Linked DNA regions of Mus musculus: all the other regions are reported to be linked to region 3. The links are microRNA targets in miRTarBase. Many come from high-throughput screens and were not tested one by one. Region 3 holds a microRNA gene; each other region holds the end of a gene's coding sequence.
What was found. The annotated mature microRNA mmu-miR-675-3p reads CUGUAUGCCCUAACCGCUCAGU and lies in region 3 at 3,294-3,315, shown strand. An mRNA with a match to its seed (bases 2 to 7 or 8) in the 3' UTR can be bound and repressed. Matches are read on the target gene's strand: a 7mer-m8 pairs with bases 2 to 8, a 7mer-A1 pairs with bases 2 to 7 and ends in A, and an 8mer does both.

Region 1: miRTarBase lists Ell2 as a target of mmu-miR-675-3p. Seed matches in the 3' UTR shown: 7mer-m8 at 1,448-1,454.
Region 2: the mRNA of Zc3h12a is a reported target of mmu-miR-675-3p. Seed matches in the 3' UTR shown: 7mer-A1 at 5,369-5,375.
Region 4: the mRNA of Myo1e is a reported target of mmu-miR-675-3p. Seed matches in the 3' UTR shown: 7mer-m8 at 5,253-5,259.

Annotation. Positions count from the first base shown.
Region 1 is chr13:75,769,976-75,777,081 of GRCm38, forward strand. Ell2 (elongation factor for RNA polymerase II 2) reads left to right here. Exons shown (of 12, transcript NM_138953.2): 11 at 571-615; 12 at 705-2,386. The coding sequence ends at 821. Among named protein-coding and RNA genes, the nearest start is that of Ell2, 66 kb to the left of the region's middle.
Region 2 is chr4:125,113,099-125,120,216 of GRCm38, forward strand. It overlaps Zc3h12a (zinc finger CCCH type containing 12A), which reads right to left. Exons shown (of 6, transcript NM_153159.2): 6 at 5,316-7,046. The coding sequence ends at 6,181. Meaf6 (MYST/Esa1-associated factor 6) reads left to right here. Exons shown (of 8, transcript NM_001374123.1): 8 at 1-140. Among named protein-coding and RNA genes, the nearest start is that of Zc3h12a, 11 kb to the right of the region's middle.
Region 3 is chr7:142,573,275-142,580,392 of GRCm38, reverse strand. Mir675 (microRNA 675) reads left to right here and starts at 3,246; the gene lies at 3,246-3,329. It overlaps H19 (H19, imprinted maternally expressed transcript), which reads left to right and starts at 2,247. Exons shown (of 5, transcript NR_130974.1): 1 at 2,247-3,564; 2 at 3,650-3,780; 3 at 3,863-3,984; 4 at 4,063-4,190; 5 at 4,279-4,863. RefSeq lists enhancers at 7,073-7,118, 6,481-7,118.
Region 4 is chr9:70,398,086-70,405,203 of GRCm38, reverse strand. It overlaps Myo1e (myosin IE), which reads right to left. Exons shown (of 28, transcript NM_181072.3): 28 at 5,137-6,482. The coding sequence ends at 6,406. Among named protein-coding and RNA genes, the nearest start is that of Mir5626, 4.1 kb to the left of the region's middle.

The DNA.
Region 1 (7,106 bases), not on the chromosome of region 3:
ATTGTGTTACATTCTAGTAATTTCAACCATTATTCTGTTTGCTAGGTTCCTAGTTTATTACATTTAGAAGGACTTAATAGTAAAAGTTATTGAATTATTAAAATGTAATATTATGTCTCGCTTTTAAGGGTATTATCAATCTGTCCATATTATTTTGTACTTTTTTTCACCAGTACAATGCTTTGTGGAAAATTTTTCATCAACTTAAAAAGCACTTAACTCTCTTTTTACTGTCCTTTTTGTAGGGCCTACAGGGCACTTAACTTTCTTTTTACTCTCCTTTTGTAGGGCCTACGAGGCATTCTTGTAATGTAGATTGTCTTGCTGGACAGAGCTGCTAGCTGTCTGTCCGTCTGAGATGATAGACCTACAGAATATGTAGAATTGCTGAGTCAAGTTTGCATTTGCTGTTTTGATAGCTGCTGCCAAATTGCCAAATTGGGACAAATGTCTCAAGTTATATCTCATCAGTATTTCCTACACCTTCCAGGTGCTTGTTAGATATAGTACTAACTCTTCTTGTTAGATGTAGTACCATACTCTTCTTAATTGTAATTTATAACTTTACAGAATGTTCATGAAGAAGTCTTACAGGAATATCAGAAGATCAAGCAGGTGAGTACCACGCCTTTGCCTTTCTGGCCTACAGTGAGAAGCAGGGTAAATTCTGTGACCTAATGCCTCACTATTTTCTTTGTCTACAGTCCAGTCCCAATTACCATGAAGAAAAATACAGATGTGAATATCTTCATAACAAGCTGGCTCACATCAAAAGACTAATAGGTGAATTTGACCAACAGCAAGCAGAGTCATGGCACTAAAGCTCTGCTTGGACCAGAAGATGTGAATAAACTAAAGCTTATTTATTTAAAATTCCAGATGAGTTGCTCTAGATTCTAAAAGATGAAACTTTGCTTGTTGGAAGTTTCAGTATTAGTAAACTTGAGTTACTTTTTTTCCTCTCTATTTTACTTTGCTGCCCTGAATTTTGAAGCTGCTTTTTTTCTGGTCCTCTCCCCAACCACCCACCCCCAACCCCCAACTTGTTTGTTAATAGAAGCAATTTTTAAGAGATTGGGGATCCAGTGTCTATACTTCAAATCAATTTTCCTTGATAACTTGTCTTTGTCATTAGCGATGATTTTTTTTTTTTTTAGATATCGGGGATGCAAAGTCCATACAGATGCAAAGAATTGCGTGTGTTTAAAACAAGACAAAACAGTAATGTGCAAGGTGAAAAGCTTTTGGATAAACAAAAGCCTATTTTCTGACCTTTCTTAATGTAAACTCTTTGCCTTAAATGGTAGAATATTTAGACATTTGCACAAAGTACAAAAAATCAAAACATTGTTTTTGGAGGGTTGAAAAATAGAAAGTGAATGTGTATAGTTTTCTATACACATACATACATACATACATACATACATACATACATACATACATACATGCATACATACATACATACATACATACATACATACATACATACGGGCTGTCTGGCTCTAGAGTGTTAAATCTGCCCTAAAAGTTAAACCCCCATTGCAATGGCTGCCTTAAGGTGTTTGCTAGTTGTGTACATCATGTGGTTAACCAGTAGCTACACTGCTTCCCAGTGATAACAGCCCCAGCCCGGGAAGCACACTGTGGCCTACCAGCATCAGAACCTGTGTGTTCTGCTTGTCTGTCTGCAGAGCTGCTGTGGATGTGAGCTGTGTGAAGGTTAAAAAGCTGCTACTCTCAGTAGGCCGGACACTCAGGTTAAAGAGCTGACGAGTGTTGCAGTAGCTTGTTGGTGTGTGTTTGCTTGGTTTTTGTTTGTTTCTGTCAAATTGCTACTTCTATTGTGGAAGACAAAAGCATTTCCATTTCAACAGTTTGTCAGCTTTATTAATGTTGGGCAAAAAATGATATGTTATGAAAATGAAACAGATCTTATAGTTTTGGGGCAAAATGACAAAAATAAATGTGTAGGTAACCTATTTATATACTGCTATAAAGTATTTTTTGAAGAAAGATATGCAAAGAAGCTATTACCTACATCAGATGTATATTTAAATTTTTTTTCATCCTGGATCCCAGGAATATAAAAAGAGTAGATATATTTAACCATAACATACTGTGACTCATCAAATAGCACAAACTTTCATTTCATGGAGTTTATCTGTTAACGTTGATTTAAACTATCACTTGTCTTATCATGTGGGAACATAAGTTATGTGGTCAAAATATAAAGATTTTGAACTAAAGTTGATTCAGGTTGTCTTGTATTGTCTCAAAGTGCTGCCAGTTGAAAAGGGAAGCATTATGTTTACAAATCTGTTTTGAAATGTTTGCCAAAATTTTGGTAGTATCTTTAATAAAGATGTTTGTCTTCAGCATCCAAAAATAAGTGAATAATTTTGACGTGTATCACTGTAAAGTAGAAAATGTTAGTACTGAGGCCTTGTGGCAGTATATGTTGATTAACTTTCTTGTGGAGTTTTCCTGAAATGTCAACTGGAAAGACTGGGTAATGGATCCAAAGCACAGAGGCAGCCAAGCACTGAAGCCAAGATTCCTCTGACGCTACAACTCTGGTATCACTGCACACATTCCATCTCTGCATGGCCTTCTGGAGACTTCCATTTCAGTTTTGAGATCCCTGGTGCTCTTTTACCTTGATAGTGCTACAGTCATTATTAAGTAGAAGTTTATCTCAATCTTTTGAGTTTAAAAAGAAGAAAAGAAGCTTAGTTATGGCTAAATTGGGGCCTCACATTATCATCGTAGATCTCTTGACATAATGACTTCAGGAGTACACTCTGAAGTGTTGGCCTTTCACTGAGATTGTTGCTGTTCTTTGCTATGGGCAATGTTTCTCAAAAGTAAGGGTGTTGAATGGCTTGCTTGCATTACCCACACTACAGTCTCTTGGGAGAGACCAGGCACCCACATTTTCACAAGGTCATTGCAGTGACAGTTGCAAGCTAATGTATAATTGGCTTAGATATAGCTCTAAATTTTAAGTCCCTAATCTTGAAACCTTGAATGTATATACTCCAGCTTTAGCAGATGCTCAATTTGAATTAGGCATGAGACCACCCCAGCTGAATCTGTACTTGAGTTTCTAATCATTTTCTGAGGAAACAAGGCAGAAAAAAAGTAAAGGCATCCATTGAGCCCTGGCATTGAAAACCTGCAACAGTTGATGCCAGCCGTGACTCTGGTGATCCTCAAAGATAAATGGAGGGTCCCAAAGTCGTCATTGTGTCAGCAACCCTTCTTAAAGCTATACCTCTTCATTGGGTAGGGGTTGAAGTTTCATTACATAAAGCTTTTGAGAATTCAATGAAAACTAGCCACCTAAATTAGGTAATTAAATATCTGTGCAACGCAGATAATGTGTGGAATCACTGCTTTTCACATGAGAGTAAGTCCATTTTGACTGACTGCAGAGGGGTAAGGCAGAGATAGGCTTCAGATTTCGAGGCGGAGTATTGGGGTTTATTGAGTGCCAGGCGTATGCATACCTGCTCTTCTGGTTTTGCTCCTCAGAGATTGCACTAGCAGGAGAGCAGTGGCTACAGGTGGCTCTGATACTTTACGATTGCGTAATTCTCAAATTGGGAATCAGAGACATGTCATTTTCAACTTCTGCCTGCCTGGTTCAACTGACCCACCAGGCTGGTTTTTCCTTCTGTGATTGGATATTAGTACAGCATGGGAACTTACAAGTAGACAGTAAGTACCCTTTTCAAGTCTATGAAACTCAGGAGGAAGCTTCCAGAAGGCGAGCCCACGTGACTAGCAGGCATGTTTGCCTTAGACAGCCTAGGGCTTCTTGCCTGCCCATCAGACTTGATGGTTTCCCATTGGGTTTTACAGCTGATTGTGGTGTTTTGTGCTCACCCTGCTCTGCCTAACTACTCTCACTTCCTGCTGTCCAGTACCAATGGTTCCTGCCATGTCAAGGCGCCCACGCTAAAGCAGCACTGCAGCACGTAAGCCCCACTTTCTCCCTCTGCTGATTCCTCATCCTTAAAGTCTTTGTTTAACCTTCCTACCTGAAGCTTGCTCTCTTGATTCTGTGTTCCGCCTTCATGGCCCTTGTCGCAATTGTAATGGGATGCTGGTTCAGCCGATGGAGACTGTTGTTCAGTCCCTGGTCTGAAGCCTCTGGCTTAGTCCCTGGCACTAGAGCTTGGTTAGAAGAATGAGCGAAGCAGACTCTTCACAAAGGTCATATTTAACCTTGAAAGGATTTGGATTAGTGCAGGAGTCTACTGGGCCATCAGGTGGCTGTGTCCTGTTACTGTCTTCTCAAAGCCAGGGTGTAGCCATTGGTCACAGTGGCTGCCTGTAGAAATTCCTTTTGCTGTGGTTAACTGGATGTTTTCAAAGGTGGCATCTCTTTCCAATATTAGCATTCATACCTCCAGATTCCTTCGGAATCTGAAATGAAAATTTTGGGGGATTATTTTTACCATTGGTCGCAACTTGCATATAGGTACTGACTTCATATCCTGAATATCTTTTTATATATTTATGTGTGTGTGTGTGTGTGTGTGTGTGTGTGAGTCAAAGGACAACTTTTAAGAGTTATTTCTCTCTGTTCATCATGTGGATCCCAGACATCAAACTTTAGTCATCAGGTTTGGCAGTTTGTACCTTTACCCGCTGAGCTATTTTAGCTAAGTCCAGTATTATTTTTCTAAACCACTTTCTCTCGATTCTCAAGGACATGGTGGAAGATAAAATTGGTACGCCAAATTTCCAGCATAATCACAGCATTCTAGAGATGTTTCTTTAAATTCAACACGTGCTTTTATTGACATTTATTGTGTTTAGCACTTGCTCAGCCTCCCAAGTGGTGGACACTCTGAGGATAATCGAAGAGCTCTAGTGTTTCTAGTGTAAGGGTCACCACAAACTGCCTTCATTTTGTAATTGGCAAAGCTTCCTGACAGCATATGGCACAACAAGATGAGGCCCAAGAAACTTACACAAACCCCGGGTAGGGCAGGAGACACCTGATTCCGAGGTGAAGATGGAGCTTGATAAGGTACCAGACAAGCACAGCACTGGCCACAGTAGTGCAGAGAATCACTACAGAGTATGATCAAGTGAAGAAAGTCCTCAGTTTCCCAACTGTGAGTGGAATAGTGATGACCTCAGGAGTTGCTATGGAAGTATGTAAGTAGAGATGGATCTGACCCTGGTACATGTAAAGGCATCTGAGGATTTGACACTTACTCCTTTCCATCTTTGATTTGTATGTGCAAAGCTTTATAGCAGTATCAATGAATAAGTCCATTGTGTTTATTCAGAGTTTGGCATGAAGGCAACTGAGCTCCTATGGTAGACACACAATACCTAACATTTTAAAGATGCTGGTCCTGATTTTCAAGTACCACATTAAATTAGCACCTTGGCTACCAGTAACATACACATATATGGAATAAATGATGTGCATTTATTCCAAACTTGAGCTAAACTGAATATTCTCTATTATCGTTATCTTTATAAAAGACAGAATTGTGGAGGGTTTTTTTTTTTAATTTATTTGAAACCATACTTTATGCAATCCAACTTATATAATAAATGACTATAACTAAAGTGCTTTCATATACTTTAAGTATAATTTTTTAAATCAGATTTTCAGGCCTGGAGAGATGGCTTAGCAAGTAATAATACTTACTGTTCTTGCAGAGGACCACAGGTCAGGAGGCTCACAACTACCTGAAACTCCAGGTCCAGGGGATCCAATGACCTTGTCTGGCCTCTATGAGCACTTATGTGGCACACAGCCTTCTATACAGGTACTCACACATACACATAAACCTTTTTTAAAAGTTACTTTTTCTTAGTGACTTGGCACATCTGATTCTCATTGTGCTAATGGTCAAAAAGAATTCCCAACTTTCACAAAAAAGGACAAAGTTTAAAAGCCTCTTTGTAGCCCTAAGGCTTCTTACAGCCCCTCACTAGAGAGTCATTGAGAGGGGTGTTACACATAAGATGCTTTAGGGAAAGGCTTCTGGGAAAAGACTCCTTATAACTAGATGCTGCTCCTCTCAAGGACAAAGTTCATTTAAATCAGACTTGCCTAAAGAGAATAGAGAGGGTCTCCAGGGGTCCTATGGCCACCTGGGCTATAGACTGCAGCTGAGAACAGCTGTAAGGGGACACTAGGGACTGCTGGCATGCCCCTCATCCTTTCCTCTCTCTACTGTTGACAAGTCTCTATTGCTATAGGAGCCAATTATCACCACCCCACCTGCTCCTCCCTTCTCTTGCTTGACTTACTTGAATGAACAATTCTGCTCCTCTCTTCTGTTCATATGCATATCTTAACACTATTTATCTTTGTCTAAAGATAATGTCTTGCAGTTAGTAAGGCTACCAGTTCAGAAACAGAAACCACAAAGCAACACACTAAAGCTTGGGAAGCAGTTGAAATGCTTTACAGGCCTACATCCTGGTGTGCATCTAAATGCTGGAATTGCCAACAGGTAATCCAGGGCAATTTGCCGCAAGTCTGGACTTTGTGGCAATTTAGGATATCAAGATTTGGAATAGATTAACAAATGCTGAACTAGACTGACAACAGCAACATTGTTTGTTCTTACATGTCCCCCTGAAAGGTGCCTTCATCAGTGAAGTTGTGGCAGGTCCTGTACTTTCTCTAGAGCAGCTATTCATAGTCTCTTGTCTCATTAGTCTTGTAGCCAGAACTCTACAGTGTGTTTAAAGTTAAGGCCTTTTCCCTTCCAACCCCAGCTTGCTTTAGGCTAATAGCTAAGCACTTCTTGCCTTTCCCTCTCCTCTTACCATTCAGCTTGCAGCAGGTTGAAAGGAAGGGAGCAGGTGGGGGCTATGAGACAGGAGAGGTCTTGGATGGCACCTTTGAAATTGGCCTTGATTTCTTTCAGACACTGTCAAGCTCGTGGACATCTCAGACCTTTCTGTGGCCTCTGGCTGCTGGCCAGGCCTCTCCTTTGGCCAGCCTTGGTAGTCTCCATTTTCTCCTACCTCATAGGCTATCTGACTTTTTCAGGCAGGAAGCTAGACACTAGGGCCTCTTTTTTAAATTGATCATATAAACTAGAGAAATTGTATCTGGGTTC
Region 2 (7,118 bases), not on the chromosome of region 3:
GAGCAGATCTTGGATGTGTTTCCACTTTGGGCCTCAACCCTATGTAGTTCCTCACTTTGGATATGTTGTGTAATACACATAACTATTAGTTCATTAATACATGTGGATAATTTATAAATAAATATTAGGTTGAACCACAAGAAACTGCTGATACTGAAATTGTGTTCCTCTATGAAAAGTGACTGCTGTCATGGTTTGCTAGCATGTGTTGGAAATATGTGTACTCCGGGTTTTTATTATGATTCACATACAAGAACACACTGCAGGCTCCTGGTCAGAGGTCTCCCAGCTCCACCCCCCACCCCCCCCCCCCCAGAAACGCCGTTTCCAGAAATGATAGGGAGCTGCTCTGCCTTCCCTTTCTGAAGTGGCTTCTTAGATTAGGAAATATCTCAAAGCCAGTTCTTGGGCTGGCCAGATAGCCCTGCGGGTTGAGTTTGATCCTTAGAACCCACAGTTCAAAAGCTGAGAACCGACTCCCTGATACTGACCACCCGTGTCTACCAGTGATCCCAGCCAGCAAGTGGGAGGCTGAGGCAGGAGGAACGTTCCTATCTCAAGCTATCCAAAACAACAAAAGCAAGCCAAATTCCAGAGATAGCTGCCTCCTCCTTACTGACTAATATTCCCTGCAGTGTGCTAGTTTACTTAGCCTGTGCTCTTACTGACTGTTGCTGTCGTAGGAAATGCCTTCCGTCATCTTGCAGATGAAGGCTTTCTTGGGATAGATTAGTAGGCCTGCCGAGTCAAGAGCTCTGTTTCCTAGGTGACTGAAGTACCAGGTCCCCTCCAGGGTCGACTGTAGGACACTACTGATGACACTACCTCTTTCCCCACAGCCTGCCACATCGACAGGACTCGATTCATTTGGAATGGCAGCTCATGGTGATATTTTAAAAAAAGATTGATTGATTGATGATATGTAAGTACGTTGTAGCTGTCTTCAGACACCCCAGAAGAGGGCATCAGATCTCATTATGGATGGTTGTGAGCCACCTTGTGATTGCTGGGATTTGAACTCATGACCTTTGGAAGAGCAGTCAGTGCTCTTAACCGCTGAGCCATCTCTCCAGCCCACTCATGGTGATTTTATTTAAGTATATGCAATTATTATTTTTTCTCCTTGATTGTTCTTCCAGCCTGTATGTGTGTATGTGTGTATTGTGTGTCTGTATGTGTGTCATGTGTGTGTTTGTGTGTGTACATGCTTGAGTGCATGTGTGTGCAACACGTGCTGCTGAGGGGATGGACACGTGTTGAACACATGTTCCACCGTTCAGCCGTACTTCTTGCCCAATAATTTTTCTTGGGTAATTTATTGCCCAGACAGTCAGAACTTCCTGCGAATGCCTTTGAAAATTCACTGCTTAGACAAAAAGAACACACCTGTGAGCTAAGTACTTTGGGAACTGAGGTAGGCAGACAGCCCGGCACTGCATGTTGAGCGAGACCCTGTCCAAAACAAATGCCAGAAGGAGTTCCCCGTCTGTTTCGGGTTCTGCTTTGCATATTGTCCCAGACAGAGTTATACTTCTACAGCCCGTTATTTCAGACCTCATGGAGTCATTCCTACCCTTGCCCCCTGAAAGATGTCAGTGGTTTGGGGGGTATTAGCAACTCCAAGCTAGCAAGCCACTGGCTCCAGGCAGTAGTAGTAGTATCAGGAGCTGCCAGAAGGCGGCAGCAGGGTGCCACATGCCTGGGATGGCTAAGTCATTCCTCCCACGGAGTCTTCATGCTGTTCCTTAAACGGGTAAGCAGTTTAGGGTCACCAGCTGCTGCTGCCTTGAAAACAGCTTCAGAAGGCACACCCTCGGTTACAGACTGGGCCTCCTCCCCCTCCAGGAACTGACTGGAGGGATTTACATGCCATGGCCTAGGATGGCACGGGCTTCCCTAATTACAGGGCCCCACTTCCTGCCTCTTTCAGCCAAGTCTCCCACACCCTTCCCATGAACTAGGAGGTCCACAGGACAGGTTCTTGCCATCCAGTCTGCTTTGGGCCTGTGATAGAAGATCGAAGCCTAGGACAAAGGCTCTGGGGTCCTTGGGCTTCCTTCTGGCAGAGCTTAGCCAGTGACCCTCTTCCCAGTTCTGTCCGCTCACCTTACCCCACTCCTCCTTGAGATGGGTTAACCTGTGTGTACTGTCCCTGGGGAAGGTGGGCAGAGGACCTTGGTGGTAGGAAAAAAGGGAAGTAGGAAATGGAGCTGCAGAAATGGGCACTGGCCTTGCCCCCGCAGCTGGCTACTCTAATCACTGAAAGACACCAGCAGTTTAGGGCATTAGCAGCTCCAAGTGGGCTTTGCACGGTGGCTATTTTGTCCTTTGTGGTACCAGCATCTTCAGGGACTGCCAGGTCTTCCCAGAGACAGAGTGGAGAGTGACCCAGAGCAGGGGTCCTTCACACACACACCGTTACGGGCTGGCTCAGTCTGGCAGGGCATACAAAGCTTTCCTGTCTCAGGCTACATGCAAAGGCAGACCAGTCGTTTTGACTTCTGAGCAGGCTGGGTTCCCCCCCACCCCCTCTCAAGGTGTTAGTCTTGTGGAGCAGAACTTGCTGAAGCACCTAGAGTTCACTACCTGCTGGTACAAGTGGGAGGGGAGGGTGGGAAGGCCCAGCTCAGCTCCCAGAGATCATTTCCCAACAGAGAATTTGCATACACACCAGTTTCCCCATCACCCAGCTTGGCTCAAGTAACCAGGAAGAGCTGGCATAAGGAGCAGCTGGGGCGGCTGCTTGGAATTTGATCCCTTGCAGCAAGCCTGGTGGCTCGAGCTTTGGTCTTGGGAGTTACATTTTGTCCCTGCCGCCCTCCCCGTTAAGCTCCCACGTGGATCACTGTGGGTCAGGCAGCTGAAGCCCTGAGAGAAGGGCAGTGAGTAGCCAGGGCTGCCTGCTAGTGAGTGGGGCGTGAACTGGGGCCTCACTGCCTCTAGATGCTGCTAGTTAAGGTCTTCTTTTGTAATGTCTGGAGAGGTGGTGTGTCTTTGTGCCCATTTCACAGGTGGAAGGCCAAGGTCCCGTGTGATCCAGTGCTACCTGTCTGAGTGGCCTCAGTGGCCAGGGGACAAGAGGTGGTGAGAACTTTGGAGTTAATGCTGAAGCAAGTCACAGAGAAGAAACAGCCTTGGCTTTGAGCCAGGCTGCTTGGGTAGCCCTGCCTGGAAGCAAGATTGAGAAAGAGGCCTGGAGGCATGGCCACGTGGTTGGCTAGTCCAGCTGAGCCAAGCTGTCAGGAAGCATGGGCACCAAGACAGGCATCAGAAGGCCTGAGCCCAGAGCCCGGTCCTAGCTGGCACCTATTGTTTGAATCTGTAGCCCTCACTGGTTTCAGTGGACCAGCAGGGCCAGGCCCTGCCTTCTAACATTAGCCATAGCCAGCTGGCACTCATGCTGCTGCCTGCCTGTGGAGTCAGCCCATTTCTCACCCCCATAGGACAGTCACAGATGACTTCAAACTCCGGCTAAGAAAGCCAGGACAGTGGAAGAGTTCTTCTCACTTCCCCTTGTGAGCGGCCCCTGAATCTCATGGCCCCCAAAGCTCCACAGTATGGTACAGACAGGGCCGTACTGAGCAGCCGAGTGGGCGAGCATTCTACTTGCTTCAGTGGGAGGAGCAGCTCACTTCCCATTTCTGCAGAGGCTTGAGTCACAACAGTCTGGTGTCAGGTTTTGGGATCAGGAAGGGTACTGAAAGCCCTGCCCCAGCCTGCCTTCCTCCGTGGGACCTTGGGCAAGTCATTCAGCATTGCCAAGCAACTGATAATGAACCCGACTGTCCGGTATTTTAGCTTCCTATCCCATAAAGACAAACAGATGCCCACAGACGGCCGTTTAACCTGAGAATACATTGGCGCCCTTGTGTGTCCGTGTGTTTTATTTCGTGTGTTTGAGACCAGAGTCTCATGCAGGCCAAGTTGGCCTGGAACTTGCTTTGTAACCAAAGACGGCCTTGAACTTGTGGCCCTCCTGCATCTTCTTCCGGGATGCTGGGATGGCAGGTGTACGCTCCAACACCAGGTGCTGAGTATTGAACTCAGTGCATGGTTGGCTGCCTTCCCAGAGCCCTGGACAATGTAGTTCCTTTGTAAGAATAAATAAGGCATTGCCGTCTCTCCTTATGCTGCTAACAGCTCCCGAGGAGGCCGGGAGGAACACGCATGGCATAGACACCTTTAATTCCTGTGGGAGGGAAGCTTCCAGCTCCTGCATGCCAACGGATCCTGATGTTTGTCCTAAGCAGGCACTTCTGGAAGGGTGGTCAGGGAAAAGTTGGGCGGAGCTCGTGGGGAGGATTCCCACAGTGACATTTTCTTCCAGAGCTTCACAGCTGTTCTGTACGGAAGTAGTTTTTAAAACAGAAATATGCACTAAGGTACACCGACTACTAAGTACAAATATCAGAGGAATTGTTCAAAGGTAGGATTATTAAAGCTGTAATTCCGCCTCCCCCCACCCTTTTCCTTGGCTGGTAATATTTGCTTAGGAATTGTGTGATAGCCTAGCCTTTCATTTAAAATATTCATGTTCATCTTTGAAGTTGGAGCTGGGAGGAGGGAGGAAGGTGTTATCTTGCCTGGGCTTGTCTAGGGCTGATGAGCAGTTTGACGTGGTGGATGGGGTCAGTCTGTGTGCCTGCCCACAGGAGTCAGTTATGGAAGCCTTCTAATGAGCAGTGCCTGTGCGGCAGGAGGCAGGTCACATACCTAGCATGTATTATCTCACTGAACCCTCATGACAAACCTGTAAGGTAGCTGCCATTAGGATTCCCATTTCATAGATGAGGAAACTGAGGTCTGGGAAGGATAGTCCCTTGCTCCAGCTGGTAGAGTCAGTGGCAGGGCGTCTCCAAGCTGCTGCTACTACCCCAGCCCTTCCTCCAGCTCTGCAACCCTGGTTCCTTGGACACACAGCAGATCTGGAAGGAGGAGCCTGTGTGCAAGCACCCAAGGGCTCCCTCACCTACTTGGATCACACCGCCCTCTGTGGCCCTGATCAAATCGTTTCCCTGTTTCCTACCCTCAATTCTTGTCATCAGAGAAAAGAGGAACAGCTTCATCCCTGCTGTCGCCCGCCCCGGCACCCCTCTACCCAGCTGAAGCCACAGGGCTCTGTGCCGTTACACTTCTTCCTGCAGCTGTCACCTGCTACCTTGCCTCCTATTAAGGTTCAGCTCCAAGGGACCAACTGCTTCTGGGAACCCTCCTTTCTGAGGACAGGGAGTGACATCTGCCCTACTGGCCTCCTGTCACCCCAGAGCAGCTCTACCCACCAGGCACAGTAAGGACAACTTCCTCTCAAAACGACTGGCAATAGCTTTTTTTTTCTTTTAAATTTCTCTCTTTTTTAAAAGATTTATTATTGTATGTAAGTACACTGTAGCTGTCTTCAGACACCCCAGAAGAGGGCACCAGATCTCATCACAGATGTTTGTGAGCCACCATGTGGTTGCTGACATTTGAACTCAGGACCTTCAGAAGAGCAGTCGGTGCTCTTAACCACTGAGCCATCTCTCCAGCCTGCCTGGCAATAGCCTTTATTTTGTCAACCTTTTTCATTTAAAATATTTAAATCTCGCCTCTGTACACAGCATACATGTGTCCTCCCACCCATGGGAGGTGTGGAAACAGAGGGCCTTGGAGCCCTGGTTGGGGGGGGGGTGTGTAGGTGGACAGAGCGGGCAGGGGAGGGGCTTAAAGAAGCATCTTGCTTACTAACATGAAGCCTCATGCCCTGTGAACAGGGATGAGGCCGCATTGGCTTGAGGGGGCCTCAGAGAGCAGGCACATGGTGCCTAACTAGCCGGTGGTGCCGGCGTCCCAGGGACAGGGTGGAAGGTGGGGTCCAGCTCAGGCCTCTGCTCCCCCATGCCTCCCACCCGGCCCTCTGAGAAAAAAAAAAGAGGGTTTGGGCATCAGCCACGGATGGACGGCCTGACCGGCAGCGTCTCCTTAAATGACAGAGATACAATGTGTATCAACAGGGTGATCACTTCTGACCTGTGCGGGACGGGTTGGGGTGCCGCGGGGCCAGAACCAATCCTATGGTATCTTTGGTTTGAGGATTCCCTTGCCTGCTTCACTTGTCCTTCTGTCCAGCTTCCAGGGTAGGCCAGGCAGGGGCTGGGGACCGCTATCTGTGATGCCCGACAGCCCCTTGCGCCACCTTCTGGCTTACTCACTGAGGTGCTGGGACTTGTAAGACAGGATCTCTGCGGCCAGCTGCTGCGGATCCAGCAGCTGTGGGAAGCGTCTCATTACAGCTTCTACCAGGTGTGGGGGGAAGACACCACACAGCTTGGTATATACACCAGCCCTTTCTTTGGCCAGGTCACCCACCCTGCCCCAGGGGCCCCCACCAGCCCCGGGGCTGGGTCTCTGGGGCTCCTGAAGGACAGGAGTGGGTGGGGGTAATGGGTACGGCTCAGACCAGTACTCTCTGGATGGGTAGGTGGGTGGCGGGGGCACATAGTCGGTGGGGACACTGAAGTGGCCAGCACCCATGGCTGGTCTAAAAGGAGAAAAGGAAGGTGCTGCTGGGACCTTGGATCCATAGCTGTGATAACCTGCATAGGGGCCCCGAGTGGGGCCCGACTCCCCAGGGCTGCCTCCTCGCACGCCCCATAATTCTGACATCTGGCTCTCCAGGGAACCAATGCCTGAATCAAGGCACTCCTGGGAGGTGTATGGGAGTGAGTCCTGGGTGTGTGCAAGCCACTCTGTGGGCCCAAAGCTGCCCCCACTAACAGGGAGGCTCCTGCCAGCTGGAGCACAGGTCTGCGGTGAGCCTTCTCGGTGGGGACCCGGAGATGACCTGGCACCCAGCTTTTTCCCATCCAGGCTGCCTGGTTCAGCCTCTAGGGACACAGAGCTGGACTGAGAGGCAGGGGAAGGCCTCTGGCTACTTTTGTCCTTGACTGGAGTCCTGGGAGGTGAGAGGAGAGCGTTGGCACGGAGCTCATCGGCCACAGAGCGCTGGGGACGGCTTGGCCGCTCAGGGTGGAAAAATCGGCACTTGATTCCATACGTACATTTCTTCCCTGCAAGAACAGAGAGGGTGTCTAAATGGGGTCAGAGCGAGGACGAGGCACAGACTTGGGATTCAGGTGGTC
Region 3 (7,118 bases):
GCCCTTCACGATCGATCGGTTCACTCTCCACGCTGTGCAGATTTGGCTATAGCTAAATGGACAGACGATGCCGCGTGGTGGCAGTACAATACTACATATTGCTCGGCAGACGCGGCATAGGTTGGGGTCCGCTGTGACAAAGCTTTGAGTACCCCAGGTTCAACAAAGGGATCAGGCATTTGTGCACTTACGGAATGGTCCCCTTCTGCCTTGGGACTCCTCAAGCTAGCCAGATCTGTTCAATCCAAACTCAATACAGAATCGGTTATAGGCGGGAGACATAGAAACTGCCGCGTGCGTGCGTCCACCGAAACCCCATAGCCATAAAAGCAGAGGCTGGGGTTCAACCATTGCAATGTCCCAGGTAACCTAGGAACTGTAGCAAGAAGTTGCAAAGCTGAGATTAGAGACTAGGAGAAGTCAGGGATCCGCTTAGTTTGAAGTGAAGCAGGAGGGTGGGTAGCAAGAGGGAGCATAGCGGGTGTGGCATGGTGGGGTTGTATAGCGTGGGTTATAGCGAGGGGGTATAATGGGGAGGTATAGTGGAAGTATAGTGGGAGGTATAGTAGGGGTATAGCGGGGGATATAGAGGGAGTTATAGTGGGGGTATAGCGGGGGCATAGCGGGGGCATAATGGGGGACATAGTGGGGGGCATGGCAGGAGGGGCATAGTGGGGGTATAATGGGGGTGTAGTGGGGCGGTATAGTGTGGGTATAGTGGGGGACATAGCGGGGGTATAGTGGGGGTATAGCAGGGAGGGTATAGTGGGGGTATAGCAGAGAGTATGGGGGCCATAGGGGAAGTATGGTGGGGGGTATGGCAAGGGGTATGGTGGGGAGGATGACAGGGGGGATATAGCAGGGGTGTAGTGGGGAGGATATAGTGGGAAGTATAGGGGAGTATAGCAAGGGTGATGTGGGGGGTGATGGGAGACAGAGACCAACTGCCACCACACCAGTGAATAGCTTACATGTGATGGCCAACCCTCGGCCTTTAGTCTGCTGATGCTGCCAGGGTTCTTGAGGCTCATTAGAAGATGGGGTCATTCTTTTCCATCTTATATACCGATCTCTGAAAAGGATCATTTGTTTAAGAGCGCAGAGATAGCCACAACCACCACAAGGTGACAGCACAGACACACATTACAGCGCCAAGATAATAGAGGCTGGGGTCTATTTATGACCAAATTGGAGGTGTCCGTCAGTATCATAACTTAGGGTCCACCCACAGCAATGACCAGGGCTTTTCACAGAGTAAAAATGAAGGATCACTAGGAGCCAGAAATGAGTACTCAGCTGACATGCAGCCACTAGGCTGAGGATCTGCCAAGGTGCTATTGCACCTCACATAGGTGAGAACCACTGCTGAGTGGTCATGACTGGTCAGCCCTTGAGTCCTCCTCCCATCTGGAGCTCCGGTCACTTCCATCTAGAGCTGCTCTACTCTCTGGTGCCCTGATTTGTGGATGCTGACTCTGTGGATTTCAGCTGCATAACTTTCAACAGAAGCTAAGAGCAATGGTATACGCACGCACGTGGCTGGAGGGACAGGGCATCTCTCCTGTCCCCATTCTATCACTGATAGTAGTACTTCAGTAGGATAGGGAGACCATACTGTGCCTCCGGTTGACTGGGGTGACCAAGACCAGACTGTAAGATAACTAATAAAACTCATCGCAAGAGAGTCCTGACAAACGTGACGACTCACCCAGAAAAGGGACGGTGAGGAGTGCCCAAATTAGCTACTACCTTGTTGAAACCACTGCGGCCAGATAAGGTCAGTCAAGCAGACTAGGACAAAGGCTGGGGGTTAGCCACTCGTAGGCTGTTCATACTCCGTGGGATAGTATGAGACCCATGCCCTCAAATTCCCATTGTGGTCATTATACAAACTGAGTAAAGGGCAGCTTCAGTGTGGCAGGGTGCCTGGGGCACCACCGTTCTATGAAGGGCTTCAGCAGGCTACGGGGCTATATGTTCTCGACATCAAGGGAGATATCTGGGGACAATGCCAGGCCCTGTCTAAGGGATTCCAAAGTGGGAGTTGTGGTGAGGCTGTCTTTGGAGAATTTCAGGACGGGTGCGGGTGTGGGGTGAGGCGAACGTGCGCTGGAACGATACAGGGTGGAGGTGGGCCCTGCGGGGGCCCCGGCGGGGCCATGTACTGATTGGTTGACAGAGTAGGGGCGGGAATTCTGGGCGGAGCCACTCCAGTTAGAAAAAGCCCGGGCTAGAGGGCCCGAAGCACCGGGTGTGGGAGGGGGGTGGGGGGTGGGGGTGGGGGGTATCGGGGAAACTGGGGAAGATGGGAGAGCTGGAGGAGAGTCGTGGGGTCCGAGGAGCACCTCGGCATCTGGAGTCTGGCAGGAATGTTGAAGGACTGAGGGGCTAGCTCAGGCAGAGCAAAGGCATCGCAAAGGCTGGAAAACATCGGAGTGAAGCTGAAGGGCCTGAGCTAGGGTTGGAGAGGAATGGGGAGCCAGACATTCATCCCGGTTACTTTTGGTTACAGGACGTGGCGGCTGGTCGGATAAAGGGGAGCTGCTGGGAAGGGTTCGACCCCAGACCTGGGCAGTGAAGGTATAGCTGGCAGCAGTGGGCAGGTGAGGACCGCCGTCTGCTGGGCAGGTGAGTCTCCTTCTTCTCTCTTGGCCTCGCTCCACTGACCTTCTAAACGAAGGTTTAGAGAGGGGGCCTGGTGAGAAGAAGCGGCTGGCCTCGCAGCAGAATGGCACATAGAAAGGCAGGATAGTTAGCAAAGGAGACATCGTCTCGGGGGGAGCCGAGACAGAAGGAGGCTGGGGGACCATTGGCGACCCCAGGTGGAAAGAGCTCTTAGAGAGAAGAAAGAAGAGGTGCAGGGTTGCCAGTAAAGACTGAGGCCGCTGCCTCCAGGGAGGTGATAGGAGTCCTTGGAGACAGTGGCAGAGACCATGGGATCCAGCAAGAACAGAAGCATTCTAGGCTGGGGTCAAACAGGGCAAGATGGGGTCACAAGACACAGATGGGTCCCCAGCCGCCACAACATCCCACCCACCGTAATTCACTTAGAAGAAGGTTCAAGAGTGGCTCTGGCAAAGTCCCAAGTTTGCCAGAGCCTCAATAACTGGAGAATGGAAAAGAAGGGCAGTGCAGGGTGTCACCAGAAGGGGAGTGGGGGCTGCAGGTATCGGACTCCAGAGGGATTTTACAGCAAGGAGGCTGCAGTGGGTCCAGCCTGCAGACACACCATTCCCATGAGGCACTGCGGCCCAGGGACTGGTGCGGAAAGGGCCCACAGTGGACTTGGTACACTGTATGCCCTAACCGCTCAGTCCCTGGGTCTGGCATGACAGACAGAACATTTCCAGGGGAGTCAAGGGCACAGGATGAAGCCAGACGAGGCGAGGCAGGCGGGGCAGAATGAATGAGTTTCTAGGGAGGGAGGTTGGGTGCAGGTAGAGCGAGTAGCTGGGGTGGTGAGCCAGGGAGGCACTGGCCTCCAGAGTCCGTGGCCAAGGAGGGCCTTGCGGGCGGCGACGGAGCAGTGATCGGTGTCTCGAAGAGCTCGGACTGGAGACTAGGGTAAGTGTCTGTCCCGCTCGTGGTCACCCAGTCTCCTCCCACGCAAGTTCAATTAACTCATGTCTTCATTTCTCCCTATAGCCAGGTCTCCAGCAGAGGTGGATGTGCCTGCCAGTCACTGAAGGCGAGGATGACAGGTGTGGTCAATGTGACAGAAAGACATGACATGGTCCGGTGTGATGGAGAGGACAGAAGGGCAGTCATCCAGCCTTCTTGGTGAGCATACTCCCTGCCACAGGGCTAGTCCGCTCAACCACCTAATTGTCCACCCACTCACTCAGGATTCTGTCCTTTGCAGAACACCATGGGCTGGCGCCTTGTCGTAGAAGCCGTCTGTTCTTTCACTTTTCCCAAAGAGCTAACACTTCTCTGCTGCTCTCTGGATCCTCCTCCCCCTACCTTGAACCCTCAAGATGAAAGGTGAGTTCTCTTCTGCCCCATGTGGGTGGGAGAGGGTGGGATGCCAAGGACAGGGGTCTCATTCTCTCCCACCCATAGAAATGGTGCTACCCAGCTCATGTCTGGGCCTTTGAATCCGGGGACTTCTTTAAGTCCGTCTCGTTCTGAATCAAGAAGATGCTGCAATCAGAACCACTACACTACCTGCCTCAGGAATCTGCTCCAAGGTGAGCTGGGGCACCCTTTGGAAGCTTGCCAAGCCCACTCCCCACCCCACCCCCCGCCCCACCTCATTTGTCTTTATTCTCTTTGCAGGTGAAGCTGAAAGAACAGATGGTGTCAACATTTTGAAAGAGCAGACTCATAGCACCCACCCACCCCTGAGAATCCATCTTCATGGCCAACTCTGCCTGACCCGGGAGACCACCACCCACATCATCCTGGAGCCAAGCCTCTACCCCGGGATGACTTCATCATCTCCCTCCTGTCTTTTTCTTCTTCCTCCTTTCCTGTAATTCTGTTTCTTTCCTTTTGTTCCTTCCTTGCTTGAGAGACTCAAAGCACCCGTGACTCTGTTTCCCCATTTACCCCCTTTTGAATTTGCACTAAGTCGATTGCACTGGTTTGGAGTCCCGGAGATAGCTTTGAGTCTCTCCGTATGAATGTATACAGCGAGTGTGTAAACCTCTTTGGCAATGCTGCCCCAGTACCCACCTGTCGTCCATCTCCGTCTGAGGGCAACTGGGTGTGGCCGTGTGCTTGAGGCCTCGCCTTCCCCTCGCCTAGTCTGGAAGCAGTTCCATCATAAAGTGTTCAACATGCCCTACTTCATCCTTTGCCCCTCCTCACCAGGGCCTCACCAGAGGTCCTGGGTCCATCAATAAATACAGTTACAGTCATTGGTCTCGTGGACTTCAATATAATGCGACTCATGGGGGGAGGTTGGGGGGGCAGGGGAAAGAAATGAGGGAAGGGGAATAAAAGGGATAGGGTACACCATCCATGATGAAGGGGATAATGAAATGGGGAGGGCCTCTAGGATGGAATGGGGAATAGGAGATGGCTTATGAAAAGGTGGGTGGCACTGGGATAGGAGGCTCATGGGATGGCACACAGCGAAAGGCCTCATGGGATGCCAAGAAGCTATGGTATGGAAGGGGCCTATGAATATGAAATGGTGCCTGAAGAACGGGCAAAGCAGTCGACATCACAATTAAAAAATGCCAGAGTGCCATACGGAGACAGAGGCAGGGCTGTGAGCAGGGTCCCTCAAGACAGAGAGGCTGGGGAGGTGAAGGACATCCTTAGCAATGAGAGATGGTGGGCCCAGCCAGAAACCTGGATTCTACACTGCTCCCAAGGTCCTGCCTGGATGACTCTGAGTCCTCACACTAATCCCAACTCCCGAGGCATAATGTAGACTGCACAGTAAATCTGACTCCTTGCAGTAAGGCTCGTAATGGGTAGGCAGCTACACATGAGGCTGCGTAGACCACAGCCACATAAAGAGGCCCATGGTGGCCTCTGGGCTTCCCTCTCCTGCTCCAAGCATGCTAAGCTCTGGACTGGAGCCCACGTCGATGCCTGCAGTGGTACCCTCCCCTTGCTGTCTGCTGTGGATAGGAGCTGAAGGGCCACAGCAGAGAGATAGGGACATGCACAAGTCTGAATATAACTCAGAACACAGGGCACGGTGAATATCCAGGGAGGACAGGGAGGTCAGCATGAATGACAGGTACATGAAGGACTGTCACTGAGGTCTTGCTTCCTAGGGTGGAAGCGTAGTACCCCATAGGTTTGCTATTAGTGTCCTCATAGAGACAGCAACTGGTTGAGCTGACCCCCACGTCTCTGAGCATCCTACCAGCCTCCTAGCTCCTAGACTCTTAGCTGTACAGATACTGGGAAGGGACTTGAAGAGCAGATTAAAAAAAAAAAAAAGAGGCTGGGGTCCTTGGCTCTCATCCCCAGCCCCAAGCCCCAGTGCTTATAGCAGTCAAGAAAATCTCCTCCAGCTGACAAAGACCAGACAGGACTGACTGTCAGGAACACCCACCCTCTCCACCCCATACCCTCTCTGGGCAGTGGGCCAGCTTCTCCCCACCCCCACCACATGCCTGGTCTCTCTTCTGGACCCTCCACAACCCTTTCTCTCGCCATCATTTTGCCCTCTAATTTTCTGGGAGGGAGACCTCTGTGGTCTTCCTGGACAGGGTGGTTAGGCACCCACTGGGCATGTGGGTGTTTCTCTGATCACCTCCATAGAGGTTTTCAAAAGCTTCCAGTCAGAACATGCCCATCTTCCTGACCCTACTAGAGGTTACTTGCCCCAGTGACAAAGCAGCTTGTCGTGGGGTGGGGGTGGGGTGTCTACAAACAGCCTTTATTCCAAACATCTGACCACCCAACCCTGCAAAAGCCAGGCTCAGAAGACAAAAGCTGCTGCCTTACAAGACACGTTGGCAGGGACAGCTAGTAGGCACTGGAGGTAGTCACAGGGGATGGATGTTGGAGATTGGGGTAAGGGTACCCAAAAAGGCCCTCTATCTAAGAGACACAGAAATAGAGTCACAGAGTGGAAAGGGGGTTCAGGGGTGACATGAGCTACCTCCTTTGGGCCCTGCTTTCCTGGTCCTAGCATGCTAAATGTGAGTTTTACACAGGCTTTGAGGTGTAGGGGGCTGGAGTCACACATTCTTACCCTGGGGTTCTACCCAGAAGACGCTAAGACAAATCTGGGGAGATGAGGGTGCCAGTGTGGAAAGGGAGAAATTGCTCCTTCCCGTCCTCTCCCACCGGCTCATGGTGGATGCCTCCTCAAGCCACTCCTGTGAATGTCACAGATAGTGAGGGTGTCACAGGACAAGGCCTACCTTGAGTTTATCCACACCTCCTTTATTTAAGGCAGAAAGTTCTGAGCTCTCCCAGAAAAACTGGATGGATGTGTGGGGCAGGACCTCAAGGTGCAGGCTGGTGGGGGCTAGATGCCCCCAAATCACCAAAGCTCTGCAAACAGGTGTGCCTGTGGGTCTTGGGCCTCAAGAGCCTCGCCCACGGGTAGGGGCTGGGAAAACAGAGGTGGCCCAGCCCCCCACCCTCCAGCCAGCACAGCCCCTCCATCAGCCCAGTTTGGAATGTGTTTACCTTTAGCCCAA
Region 4 (7,118 bases), not on the chromosome of region 3:
TCCTCTGACCTTAATGAATTCTTGATCTTATCCTGCCTATCTGTGCAAGATCCACCATTCAAAAAACCTGGAGTAGACGTTCCCTTGGCCCTTTTCTCTAACTTGTGATCTGTGAGCACTCAGGATAAGCACTTACATTGCTCAGTACAATCTAAATAAGACAGAATGCCCTTTATCCTTAGCCTGCTCATCTCAAGGCAACTGGAAAGTGGAAACAAAAGCCATGGGGCAGAAACAAAAGCAGTCAGCAAAGGGGAAAGAATAGAGATGGGGGGGGGGGTGAGGGTGATGGGGAGGAAGAGTGGGCTTTAAGACCCAGCAGAGCCTTCATCTCCAGCCTCTCTCTCAGTCAAGTGAGTCCTTTGTAACTGGCACCTGGAAAATCGATCCTGTGGTGGACAGTCCTCTCTCATTTTCTCATGGGTTGACTGTGGCAGTCCTGGGGATGGAAGCCAGGCAGGCCTTCATGAGTGCTTAGGCAACAGCCCTTTGGCTAGCGCGGACCCCCATAAGCCAAGAGAACTGCAAGCTCCATGTCTCCTGCAAGACCAAGGGCTGGAGAAGCATGTGTGGAGGGGAGCAGTTTCAGGGTCTAAGGTCATCTGCCCATGGGACAGCTAAAGGAGACCTTGTTCCCACCACCCAGCCCTTCCCTTGCCTTCACATAACTGTGTTAACGATTTGAGACACAGTAGTCAGACCTCCCTTGAGAGCCCCAAGGGAGAGCAAGGACAAACTTCCAGTAGCCATGTAGGTTCCAGACAAAGAGCTAAAGCCCTTCAGGGGTGCCATTGTGGAGACAGGACTTACCCTCCTAGCCACCTCCATTTGAATTTCAGGCACTTCCTATCGAACTCACAGCAAGCTTGGAATCAGTCTTTCCTGCATCTGAAAACTTAAGATTTACTGAATGGCTCAGGAAACAAAGTTGAGTAAGGCTTTGAGCCTTCATTTCCTTCAGACAACCCCAGTTGCTTACTCTTGGCCATTCATGGCTCCAGAGCCAGGTATCAGGTTAGGAAACCATCAAGGTGAGGCGTGGCCCCAGGTGTGGACTCTGCTCTCTTCCCCCTTCCTCCCGAGAAAGATGGTCAGGTCCTTGAGGTCGGGTTTGCATTTTCTCTTGGCTTAGGGGTGGCAGCCTAAGTGGCCGCCCTGGTTCTCAGGGGGAAAAAAATCTTCCAGCTGAAAAGCCTCAAAGCACCCCAACCTACTCCCAGGGGAGGTAGGGGCTAACCGGGGTGTCCTCTTAGTCCGAAGGGATCTTCGGAGTGCCGGTTGGGTCACAGCTACTTTCCGGGCCTTCCTCAGGATTTTCCGTCAGGCGCGTGTGACCTTGAGTATAGATAGATCCTCTCTAATTCTGGACGAGAGATTCGCAAAAAATGTTAACAGGGTTGCGGGTGCCTTTCGAGGGTTTGCTGAACCCATTTCCGGGCACGGACAGAAGAAAGGAATGCTGGGAAGGCAAGACTAAGCTCCAGAGAAAGAGGGGTGCAAAAGCTTTACCCTGTGGGGCAGCTCAGCAACTTCCCTCCTTGGTCCCGTTTAGAGATCCTGCCCAACACCAACCACCAATGTCTGCCTGTGGTCTCTTCTCACAAGGCCACACACATGCAGGCAACTTCAAATGAGTGGATAACTGTGAGCAGCCTCACCTGTTCCCGTGTCGCTGCGATAGAAACAGCTGGCTCACTAGGGGTAAGGCAGGGACTCTCTTGATGGATGAGCCTAGAATGAGCAGCCAAGTTGGGGTGACCACCGATTGCAAACATGCAAGTGGCTTTTGACAGACATCCTGTTGTGGTAAAACTGGGGTGACTTTATGTGGTGTGCTGTTTTAGCTCCAAGTGAGTAACACACTTCCATCATGTCTTACCTCCTCTTTATTGCTGAGGATGGAACGCCAGGCCTGGCATGTCTAGCACGAGTGCACTACCACTGAACTACACCCCACTCCCTTTAAGATGCATCTCTTCTCCCACAGAGACATGATCTGTTCCAACTACTGATGTGAAACAAAGAAAAATTATAAACCTAGTCTCTCTCTCTCTTTTTTTTTAAATGAATGAGCTCTTGCCTCCAAGTATGTATGTGTACCATGTATGTGCCTGGTGGCCTTGAAGGTTGGGAGAGGGCATTGGATCCCCTGGAATTGGAGTTACACACAGTCAGGAGTTGCCATGAAGGTGCAGAGAAATAAATGTCCTCTGGAAGAATAGTCAGTGCTCTTAACTGTTGAACTTCATAGTGTCTCTTATACTGGCGACTTCCTAACAACTTGATGTGAGAAGACATTACCTGTTTTGAGGAAAAGACTTAGGCCCATCAAATGTTCTAATTTTTTTCAGAATTCACCTGTGCTCCAAGCCTCACGGTGACGTTTAACTCTGTGTGGTACTTTGAATGAAAATGGCCTCCACAGGCTCCCAGAGAGTAGTATTATTTGGAAGGATTAGGACATGAGGAGGCCCTGTTAAAGTAGGTATGGCCATATCAAAGGAAGTATGTCACCAGGGGATTGGGGAGTGGCCTTGGAGGTTTCAGAAGCTCAAGCCAGGCCTAGCAGCTCACTCTCTCTTCCTGCTGGTCCAGAGATGCAGATATGGAACTCTTGCCTTCTTGTCCAGCACCATGTCTGCTTGCATGCCACCATGCCTCCCGCCATGATGACGATGGACGAAACCTCTGAACCTGTAAACCGGACCCAGTTAAATGCTGTGGTCATGGTGTCTTCTTCACAGCAGTAGAAACTCTAAGACACTCAACACTGCCTTAACTGAGAGCATATGGTGAAAGCTGCCTTCTGCCTGACAGCAGATCCCACAGTCTGGTCTCCTGTGATCTGCTGTGTTGAAAATGGCAGGAACAAGAGGAAGACCTGCTTCCAGTGATGGCTGGCTTCTCCCCGTTCTTGAGGAAGTCAGGGCTGCCTGATGAGGATTTCTATAAGTCTCAAACATTGTGTGTGTGTGTGTGTGTGTGTGTGTGTGTGGCATTAAAAATCTTTACGGTTTGAAATCCTATTACAGAGTTTTATAAATAGCCCTTGTTAAGTTAGCGGAAGCTCGTTCCCATGGCAGCCTTGGACCAGCTTCCTTCAGAATGAACAGTAAGGAAGTGCAACCAAGGAACAGAGTTTTCCTAGCACCACAAGTCTGCAACTTCTCAAAGATGCTGGAGTTCAGCTTCTCTCCAACAGATGACAGATTGTGTGTGCACATGCATTCAAATTCATGTAGGATCCCGAGGACAACCCTGGCTGTCAGGAGAGGGTGGCTTGTGTATGCACACGTGTACACACATGCATGTGCATGTGGAAACTGGAGGACAACCTTTGATGTCATGAAAAGGTAGATTTTTGAGAGCATATTCCAAAGATGGTTTATAATGTCCTTATGTATTTGTCAGGGTTCTCGAGAGGAACAGAACTGGTTGTGTGTGTGCGTGCGTGCGTGTATGTGTGTAATTTACTGGAGTGGCTTACAGGCTGTGATGCAGCTAGCCCAACAATGGCTGTCAACCAACATAAAATCCAAGAATCCAGTAGTTCAGTCCACAAGGCTGGTCTTCAGTGCATGCCAGAATCTTGAAGTAGGTTCTAATGTCGGTAAAGGAACGGACTTGCCAGTGAAGAGTGAGAGCAAGCAGGCAGGGAGAGATAGCTTCCTTCTTCCATGTCCTTTATATAGACTGCCAGCAGAATGTGTGGCCCAGATTAAAGATAGATCTTCCTACTTCAAATTATTTAATTACAAAAACAAAAAACGAAAAACCTCACAGGTATACCAAGCCACTTGGGTTTTAGCTAATTCCAGATGTAGTCAAATTAACCACCTTTGCTACATTTTTTTCTTAAACATTAAATGCCCTGACTTGGGACTGGAGAGATGGCTCAGCGGTTAAGAGCACTGACTGCTCTTCCAGAGGTCCTGAGTTCAATCCCCAGCAACCACATGGTGGCTCACAACCATCTGTAATGGGATCTGGTGCCCTCTTCTGGTGTGTCTGCAGACAGCTACAGTGTACCCACATACATAAATAAAAAAAAAAAAAAAAAATAAATAAATAATTCTTCTAAATGACCAGACTCAGGAGCTTTTAGGGTGCCGTGAGGACTTTTAAGACTCTTCCGCTGAATAATGTGAAAGCTGAAGTGTTCCACATGAGTCAGTAAAACATGTAAGTGGTAAAAATCAAAATCATGCTATAATAAAACCCTGTACATCCCGAAACTAGAGGATTAGACATCCTGGCCACAGCAGGAAGGACCTTGGCTTGACTCTGGTTGGTGACGGACCGTTCGATGCGATGATGTTACCCATGCGGATGAGTTTTCCCTCACAGGGTTGGAAAAGATCAAGGCACCACTCAGCATAGTCTCTGGGACTAAGGAGGTAGCTTACGAGTTCGTTCTGAAGCACTGTCTAGGTTCCTTTGGGTGGTTTGTTTGCTTGCAGACAGGATCTCACCTGTCCCACGCTGGCTGTGCCGCTGAGGATGAATTTGAGCTCCTGATCCTCTGACTCATACTTCCCAAGTGCTGGGATTACAGACACTCATCACCGTGCTGAGTTTATGTAGCTGCATGTCCCCTTTTAAACCATTTACAGTCGTCATCATCATCAGTGGTGTGTGTTCTGTCTGCATGTATATCGGTATATCATATGTAAGCCTGGTGCCTGTGGAGGCTGGAAGAGGGTATCAGATCCCTTGGATCTGGAGTCACAGATGGCTGCGAGCCACCATGTGGGTTTTGAGAATTGAAGCAGGACGTGCTTTTAGCTGCTGAGCTATCTCTCCAGCCCCCTCTTTAATTATTTGATTCTCCTGTTATACTTCAAGAATAGAGAGCAAGGACAGAAACTTCATCTTCTTTTTTAAAGGTTTATTTATCATTATATCTAAGTACACTGTAGCTGTCTTCAGATGCACCAGAAAAGGATGGTTGTGAGCCACCATGTAGTTGCTAGGATTTGAACTCAGGACCTTCGGAAGAGCAGTCAGTGCTCTTAGCCACTGAGCCATCTCTCCAGCCCCCTTTTAGAAATATGCCTGCCTTTGCCTCCCAAGTGCTGAGATTAAAGGCGTGTGCCACTTTTTTTTTTTGGTTGGTTGTTTCTTTTTTTTTTTTTTTCGAGACAGGGTTTCTCTGTGTAGCCCTGGCTGTCCTGGAACTCACTTTGTAGACCAGGCTGGCCTCGAACTCAGAAATCCACCTGCCTCTGCCTCCCGAGTGCTGGGATTAAAGGTGTATGCCACCACGCCTGGCCAGAAATTTCTTAAAGCATAACTTTTCCTGCTCACAAGGTGCTCATCCCAGATGTTTGTGACGGTCATGGAAAGTGGGGAAACAATGGTGGGTATGACCATACCACTGGTTTTGTTTTTAGGAGAAAATTATAACCCACAATAAATGTCATGAAGAAACAAGGCATTGCACTGACTCCGTTACATTTATTTAGGAAGTAAGGGAGGACGGCAGAGGGGTCACAGGAGAATTTCCTACAGGGAGAGGGTAAGGGGGTCTGAGGGACTGTGCGGGAATGCAGTGACTGTTTCTCTAGGCAAAGAGGAGAGGGCGCGTCTGTAAGTACCTGGTGCGAGTCCTGTAATAAAACCTACCTTCATGAATGGGTACAGTGGAATACTACCTGCTGCATTCATATGTGCTTCTAGATTTTTCTATATACAGTATATGATCACTTTTTATAAATGTACAGCTTGGGGGGGCTCTTTCTTATTATAAGCACAGCATTAAACATAAAACCAACATGGGCCAGCCACATTACAAGCGAAGACCAAGAGAAAGCAAGACCATCAGCCCAGCACCCAACTTCTTCCCACCAGCAGTCTTAGTGGTCCCGGCTCCCATGGGCTCGGAAGGATGGCCTGCCCGCCCTTGGCAGTGACAGGTGAGTGCCTGTTCGCCCCAAGTCCAGCCTCCAGAGGGTGGGTCCTCCCCAAGGGGGGGTTAGCACAGAGGAATGTATCAGGTACTGAGAGAGGAATGAGTGAGATGTGCTCTTCAACTAAAGGCACTTGTCATCGAGTCACCGCCTGCTGTCCCCTGGACCTGGTGAGTGGGCAGGAGGCTGTGGGATAGACACCAAGCAGTCCCCGCTACTTACACCAGATTTAAATACAATAAATAAATCTTAGTGGGTGGTGTTTTTTGCGCTCCTGGGAACTAGACTACCTTTTAGGATCATTTGTGGAGTGACCCATAACTTGTCCTTGTCCCTAACCCAAGCTTTTCTGTGTCTTCCATGGGGGAAGGTGTCAGAATAGCTTCAGGCCTTGGTGTAGCAGTTGCTCACTGTCGATCAGAAGAGGAGTCCCCAAAAGTCCCCTCCCCGGTCCACGCCTGGAGCTCCTCTGCCCACGTGTCAGTTTCCGAGCGCCTCAGATCTTGGTGACGTAGTTGTTAGGAAACAGGCCCTGCTTGCCTCGTAGTCTACCCGTCCACCAGCCAGAAGGGTCTGTGGAAGTGAAAGCACAGGTGAGAATGGCCGCATGCTTGTTCTAATGGGCTAAGGTCACTTGGTTCCATTCATAGTTTCTTCCTTCTGTTTTATCTTGTTGGGAAAAGGTTTCTTGTACAGAATGGCCTGCCCCAAGGCTATAAAGAACACCTGCTTAACATGCATAAGCCTTGGGTTCCATCCCTAGCACTGCACAAGCCACTATGGTGGTACGTGGTTGTAATCCGAGCACTCAGGAAGTGCAAGGAGGAAGATCAAAGGTTAAGGCCATTCTTAGCTACATAGCAGGTTTGAGGCTAGCCTGGGCTACATGAGACCCTATCTAAAAAAGAAAAAAAGAAGCCAGGTGGTCGTGGTGCACGCCTTTAATACCAGAACTCGGGAGGCAGAGGCAGGTAGATCTTTGAGTTTGAGGCCAGCCTGGTTTACAGAGTTAAGTTCCAGGACAGCCAGGGCTACACAGAAGAAAAAAAAGAAGAGAAGAGGAGAGGAGAGGAGAGGAGAGGAGAGGGAGAGGAGAGGGAGAGGAGAGGGAGAGGAGAGGGAGAGGAGAGGGAGAGGAGAGGGAGAGGAGAGGAGAGGAGAGGAGAGGAGAAGAGAAGAGAAGAGAAGAGAAGAGAAGAGAAGAGAAGA